2 linked regions of the Caenorhabditis elegans genome follow. The protein of the gene in region 2 interacts with the protein of the main gene of each other region in a biochemical or structural test. Each region holds a gene or a part of one and is shown on either strand. Other genes may lie near its edges.

Region 1 (3,756 bases), on a different chromosome or scaffold from region 2:
GTTATAAATGCGTAAAGTCCTGAACTACGCAAAAATAATAATTTTTAACATCTCTGTAAGATTGCTACAGTACCACATACGTTTTCGTGACGGGACCCAAAAATTTCAGCATTTTCAGAACCTAGTCATGATTATACTTATTTTAACGGGCTTTTAACACTGATTTCAAAAATTTAAGTGAAAATTCAAAAATATCTTCTTAAAAAAAATCCCCCACCAATGACAGTTGGCTCCAAGTCGACCATGACGGCTCTTGGCACATGACGTCCACTTCCAGTTTCCGAGAAGAAAGTGCTGAAAGAGTCATCGGATCCTCCGAGGGACTTGTCAGAAGGCATTTGACCATCGGGCTGAATTCCGTGCTCCAGGCAGTAGAGCTCCCAGCAAGCATTTCCGATTTGGACTCCGGCTTGTCCGATGTGAATCGAAATTACTTCTCTCTGCAAGATAACTTTTTTTGTTTGTAGATTTTAAAGGGTTTTATTATAAAATTTGAATTCAGCAAACGAAGAGCTTCAAATTAAGCCCCATATTGGCTATGTTCCTTTAGATTTGGGTCCCGTCACGAAAGTGTCTACATGGGGTACTGTAGTTTTCGCGGTGGGACCCAGTTTTCTCAGTGAAACCTAGGCATGACTATACTTGAATTGAAGCTCACAGCGTGGTGAATTTGAATTTTTGAATCAAAATTTCAAATTTTCATTTTAAAAAGTTTACTACGATATCTGATATGTATTACAGGTAGACAGGTAGATCAAACCCTCTGAAAAATTTACATTCGTGGCGAATTTCAAATTTGTTCAAACCCACTATTTTATTGTAAAACTCAATTTTCAATAAAATTTCGCGGGTCTCGCCACGAAGAGTGCGTATTTCTTCTAGGAATAGTCCTCTCCTCCCTAAAGTTCCACCCGCAAAAAGAAAGAGAAAAAAGTCAATTTTCGCCCAAATTGGATACATTTTGTGTTGCTCGTCTCAACTCCTCAACAACCCTCCTTCGCCCCGTCCTGCTCGGCGCGGAGCATTTTTCAGTTGAATTGGCAACATTTCCTGTGTTTATGTGGTGGGGCTCCGGAAGTCCGGACCTGGCACCAGGTGTGCTCAATGAGTCGAAAAAATGTTGAAGGGGTGTTGAGGTGGAAGAGTTAATAAATCCTAAAATCCTAGTTTTTCAAAATCAAATTTCGAAAAATTGTTTTTTTTTCCTAAAATTGTTAAAATAATTTGTTTTGATATCAGGGTTCCTAACCAAGATGTGTCCTGATAACGCATACGCAGACGGCGATGGCGTCTGCGTCTCACCACTTCTTACACTATCTCGTCGCTAACTTTAAGTGTTTGTATCTCAGCGAAGAGCTGAGATATCAAAAAATTTCAACAAACAAAATGCAGCACTTAACATTTCCTACATTTTGTTAGTTATCAACTTTTTGACAGTTGCTTTCCGAACGGAGATATGCCCTGTTAAAGTTAGGAGGACTGGAATAGTGTGGCACGAGAAGAGACGCAGACAGCCCCCTTCCACACTGTTTGGCTTGCTACATTTTGAACGAGTATATCTCCACAGGGAAAAGAGTTAGAAGAAAAGTTTCAACTAACGAAATGTAGGAAATTTCAAGGTCTATATTTTGTCTGTTGACAAATTTTTAGTATTCACGTTATTTTTCTAGATACTGGTAGTTTTAACAAGAAATCAGATTCGTAAAGTTTTTATGGCGAGGTTTAAATGTTTCAAAATTCATTTTTCACAAGAATTCATTTCTAGCATCTCAAGAATCTAAACATTCAAATAAACATTGTTCAGAAAATCTAGAAAACCCACCATTTTGCAAAAGAGGAGCTACAAGTTGTGTTTGCTGGGCGACGAGTTGAGATGGAACAGAACACACACAAGTGGGGCTCTGTGCTCTGTGAGCCTCTTTTCTGAAGACGTGCCTTCTCTGCGTCTCTCCGTGTTGACACATGCTCCGCCCCTCCTATGTTTCTTTTTTTGCTCCGCGAGCTCCATGTTTAGGATGGGAAAGGAGACGACATGAAATTCCGAAAAACAGAGAAAAAACGAAATTAAATTAAAATGTTGCGAAATTGTTAAGAACATTGGTTTTGACATATTAAAATTCTGTTGAAAACTAATAAAATACAAAATAAAAAATTTCCTTGACAGTGTTTAAAAATCTTATATCTCTGCTGGTAATTAGCAAAATATAGCTTTTATGATGTTCTACATTTTGATATTTCCCATCGCGAAACTTCTACTTCATATAATTTAACTGTTACTGGGGAAAAAGTAACATATTGCCCAAAGGCAAATTAGAAAGGACTCTAAAGACCTAGTTTTGGTGAGAAGTTTTCAAAAAAAAGTTTCTACAATTTTTTTTAAATTTAAAATTCAAACGTACGTATCTCAAAAACCAGGTGAGTTATCAAAAATTGCCAACAAACAAAATTAAGCTCTTGAAATTTGATACACTTTGTAAGTTGACAACTTTTTGATACATTATCTCGTCGCGGAAATACATGTGTCTAAAGGAACCTAGGTGAAAGGTACATGCCAGGGTGTGCGGCAAATTTTCCGAAATTTGCCATTCACCGAGCTTGGTAAGTTTGCCGAATATTCCACAAAAAAACATCAAAAATATTAAAATTTTCGGATCCCAATTATTATTCTAGTTCAGTTTTTCAAAATACAGTTTGAAAAAAAATCGTTTTTTGTAGATAAAGCTGTATATCTCAAAAACCAGGAAAGTTATCAAAAATTTGTTCACTAGCAAATTGTAGACAATTTTTAGAGCTATACTTTGTTTGTTGACAATTTTTTCGTAGCTCTACAGGTTTTTGAGAGAAATCGATTAAAAAACAATTGAAAAAAAACTTCTTGCTTTGAAATTTTTTTGTAATTTTTCAAAACCTTTTCGCAAGTCAGTTGAATTTTTTAAAGTTTCTACATGTTAAAAAATTAATAATTAAAAATTAATTTTTACATTTTCCAACAACACATTCTTCTCCCCACCACTTCCACCAATTTCCAGCCATCTGCCCTCTCTGGCTCCGTGAGCCCTCAGCAAACAGTATCAGGTTACCCCTTAGAGACTCCGCCCAACTACAGTAATCCAAGGAAATAGTGTGTAAGGTGGAGAGAGCCGAGAGAGAAAGCCATCTGGAAATGAGCAAAAGGATTGGTTTACCGATGGAAATGGAAAGAACCTCCTAATGCATTCAGATTCAGAGCTCTGCGATGAAGCTTGCGGTGACTAGTATTCAGCTGTGTATTTATTGGCCTTTACTGCTTAAAATGTATTCAAAACTAGTATAATTTCAAAAAAATTCCTTTTTTTTTGTTAAATTTTAAGTTTTTCCCTACTACCAATAGGATCCTAGGACCTTATCACAATTTCTAACACTCAAATTTTGATGAATTTGGAATTTTTTGGGGGACTTGGGACCACTGTTGTATGAATTTTTAAGCTGATGATCTTCCTTTTTCATTCATTTTTGATAGGGTCTCATATTCTTGGAAGAACTGGAAAATGATAAATTTTGAGAAGAAAAGGCTTTGAGAAAAAAGAACGAAGGGAATTTTGTTGTGCAGTTTTTGAAAATTTTTGAAAAAAAATCGAAAAATCTCAAATTGTCTAGCTGAATTGTTTTTTTTTCAGTTTGTGTATTTTATTGATTTTGTAAAAAAGAGTTTGACGATAGCTTTAATTTTACAGAAAAAATTCGGCAAAAAATTTCAATTTCGATCAAAGTTAAAAT
Region 2 (3,756 bases):
AACTTGTTTGACCACTTTTGCAAATTTTTGATGCTTTTCTGGATATAATTAGGTGACCATTCTTCAGGTAGGGTAAACATTCTGGAAGCTAGGTTTTATAAGATGAAAACAAAACACACTTGCCACGAAGCTTCCAGAATGTTTGTAAAAATCTAATTTGGAAGAGTTATATTTGTGAGCGGAAATAATTTCCTTATAATTTTCAGCTTGTAAAATCATTCACATCTAATAAAAAGCAAATTAGGTAAACTATAAAATTAACAAATAAATTACCACTGCTTGAAGTGTAGATGTGATAAGAATTGGTAGAGCAAAGACGGCAAGAACTGCAACAAATACAGCAACTGATGACGAGAAAACGGCCAATTGACGCATTCGTCGCGCTAACAGTTCTAGATCTTTCTCATTACCCTTCATTTTCTGAAATTACTATTATAAATGTGTTAGCCAAGAGTCTCCCATTGATCACAGAATGGCAAACTCAAATTATAAAATATATCTGAAACAGATTAAATGTTATTGTATAAGATTTACATTTTTCAAGTTTTAATTTCCATTATTGTTTCCGTTTTTCTGTCAAGAAATCTATAGATGTGAGCATCAAATTTTTACAATAAGTTTGTTGGAGAGACTTTTAAAAATGAATACAATAATTGAATTTTTCTTCAAAGTGAGGAAAAAAGTAAATGTTGTATCCGAATGAAAGTTCAATACATTGAAAAATAATGTGAATGAAAAGCATTCAAATGTTCAGATTTTCGTTCAATACGAGGCTAACAGCATAAAAAAAAGAATACGCGTTATCACAGTGTTTTAAGTGTAAAAGAGTGACGAAGTCTAATGAAAAGGTATGCGTAGTTTACAATGGATAATTTGGGTGTGGAGAAGTTAGAATGATGTCTGCTGATGTTAATCACTTGAATTCTTGTTTTCTGATCTGCAAAAGCTTCTTCTTGAAATGGTTCTCGTTCTTGATATTCGAGATAGCTTTGAAAATTCCAAATTTTTGACAAACATCTAGAAATTTATTTGAAGATGAAGCAGTGTCTGTAGAAATAGTAATCATGTTTTCAATATTTATCATGTTTTCAATACCGTCCAACATGGCCAAATATTATAAAAAACTCTGAAGTGTAAAAAAATATTTTTCTATTTTTGAAAATTTTGGCAAATTCCCAATTTTCGAGAAATATTGGTTTTTAAAAAATAATTTTAGAGCAATGTCGCATTTTTGAGCATCTACAATGTTCAGATGCAAATAATTAAAATATAAACTTCCAAAATTAAAAGTGAGAGGAACTGAGTGGTTGACACTTTTGGCTGTAAAATTAGCACTATGTAGAAGAGTGGTGTTGAAAAACACAAAGTGTCTTGTAAAGAAATCTACAGTTTCAGAAAACCTGGATATTCAAAGTTTCTGAAAAGTACCACTCAAATTGCTCCTAGAAATAATTTTAAAAAACGATTCTCCATTTTCTGATAAAATTTCAAGTTACGGAATGTTTCAAATTCTAAATGAATCTGATTATTTTTCTTGCTACACGAATCTGAAAATCTAAAAATAGTCTTTTTCAAAGTTCCAATGAAATTTCCAGAGATCTCGAATTTAGATTTTTTGGAACAGTAATTAAAAATGTTTATCTGTTTGTGACTCTTCCAACTTCTTCCGCGTTTGTGTTTTCCTTTCTAAATTCTGCCAAAAAAGAAAAAGATCATCCGAATGTTTCAGAAATGAAGAGTCGTCAAGAAAAGAAATAATGCCAAACACTGATATAAAATTCATAGAAAAGTCACTTTGTATACTGTATGAATTCCGAAGAAATTGAAAGGAATTCTCCGATAAGAGCAGGCTCACCAAAAATGCATGAGAATGGGGAGGAAATGTGGGAGGAGGAGAGCTGAGATGAAGAGAAGCTGCTTCACCGATGGATCAGTTGTGAGACGATTCGATCATGCAAGTCGACGCCGACCTCCGACCGATTCTCGGTCCTCAACTCGTTCGTTTGGATCCTATGAGAGTTAAGCAATTGCAGTAAGTTTTTGATATATTCACTTAGTTTAAGAGAATGGAATGTTCATAGTGTCTGATATTGAGTAGTGAAAAACCCATTCACGAAAGTTTTTTAAACATTTGGTTTAGATGGTATCAGGTATAGAATATTTCTTTTTTATATATGATTCCATTTGCAATGTCTGTTAATCATTTTAGTTTTCCCCAAGATTTTAAAGATTTGCCTGATGTGAGCTCATATTTCTTCCTGTAGAATTGATAGTTCCACTGCTGAAAGTGTTCAATTCCTTTTTTAAACAGTTACAATGTGCTTTTCAAGAGATTCAAAATTAAAAAGGAGCTACAACGCTACAAATCTCTCAGTAAAGTTATAAGGATTTTGAATTGTGACTTTGAGATTGTGTTTTATTGTTAGAGGCTTGAGAAAATCAATTTTTAGTGCAAACATGTAATAGTGTGGAAATAATAATGTTCTCTGAGCAGATTGAGTCCAACATAAAGGTTTGCCTTGTCATTTAATCAAAACAAAGGGGAAAATTTTAACTTTATTGAAATTCGTTTTGATCTCAATCTGTGTTTTTTCTCGCTAATCATTACAATGGAATAAACTTATGTTGAAATTATATTTCTTGAAATTTTTCAGCTGTAATGTTAAAATACAATTTTTTAAACATATTGTAAATCAATGCCGTGGAGCACGAAATAAACTGAAGCTAACAATGAAATTCTGAAAGCAATGTATCTCGGAGCTTCCTACTGGTGCTAAATAGTTTTTGAGGAATCGGGTGAAGTCTTGTACTATTAGACTCTCTAATTAAATTTTGGAGTCAGACGACATATATCAACGTTTATTTATTCACATTTGTTGGATCTGAAGACATCAGTTCCTTCTCTATTTTATTTCTGAAATATAGTGTAATCACCTTTCATCATGGTTAATATACATCTTGAATTCAGTAAGAAAAAACTGGAATATTTGAATGTTTTGTTATTCGAAACACTGATAAAATATCAACCCGGTTATCTTTTTGCATAGCACCACAAATCATTACAACTTTAAACCTAAATGATTCTTGTGATTCTTCTTTTTATTTCTCACTCATGAGATAACCTGTTCCATTTTTCGTTTTATTTTTCCAACGCCTCCCTCTTAACAATCTTATCAATATATCAATTGAACATGCGGAAGATGTGATAAAAGTGATGATAAGGTTGAATTGTTCTTTAGTTGGGGATTGAACTTTCAACTAAATCTAGATTATTATTTTTGGCAATTTTGCTGAATCGAGTTGAACTAACTATAATCTGAAGATAATTGGAATTTAAAGAGAAGCTAGATTTGAGCTTTTTGGGGTTCTGTGAGATTAGAAGGATGATCTTACCAGAACAAATATGAAGTGTCACTTAAAATGGTCCGAATATAATTTTTTAAAAATAAATTCATCAAAAATATTTCAGGGATCCAATTGTCTATGAAGCAATCGATAATCTTGCTAAACTCTCAGCTCATTGCCTTCAGCTTCGTACTCCTTTGACAACTTGTGAGAAGCTTATCAACTCCGATTCAACTTTATATCTCTCTTGGAAATATGATGAGTAAGTTAATATTCTTATTCATATACTTCAGTTTTTCACAATATTACTCAATCATTATCGAATGAATAATACGGAATACTGTCAGACATATATTTTCTCGTCGCGATGATACTGTGGTCATCGTATGGAGTACTGTAGAATTATGAAGA

Evidence for each region. The genes of interacting proteins can lie anywhere in the genome.
Region 1: of the proteins of mec-17 (region 2) and mec-12, one has a biochemical effect on the other in vitro, tested with the Caenorhabditis elegans proteins (one study listed by BioGRID).

Annotation. Positions count from the first base shown.
Region 1 is NC_003281.10:3,137,310-3,141,065, forward strand, and holds the start of mec-12 (Detyrosinated tubulin alpha-3 chain), read right to left. Parts: upstream 1,926-3,756; 5' UTR 1,826-1,925; coding exon 1,823-1,825; intron 441-1,822; coding exon 218-440; intron 1-217.
Region 2 is NC_003282.8:7,985,349-7,989,104, reverse strand, and holds the start of mec-17 (Alpha-tubulin N-acetyltransferase 1), read left to right. Parts: upstream 1-1,921; 5' UTR 1,922-1,952; coding exon 1,953-2,032; intron 2,033-3,469; coding exon 3,470-3,607; intron 3,608-3,756. Other genes in the region: col-115 (Col_cuticle_N domain-containing protein), read right to left, coding at 274-417. UniProt on the Caenorhabditis elegans protein: Specifically acetylates 'Lys-40' in alpha-tubulin/mec-12 on the lumenal side of microtubules. Promotes microtubule destabilization and accelerates microtubule dynamics; this activity may be independent of acetylation activity.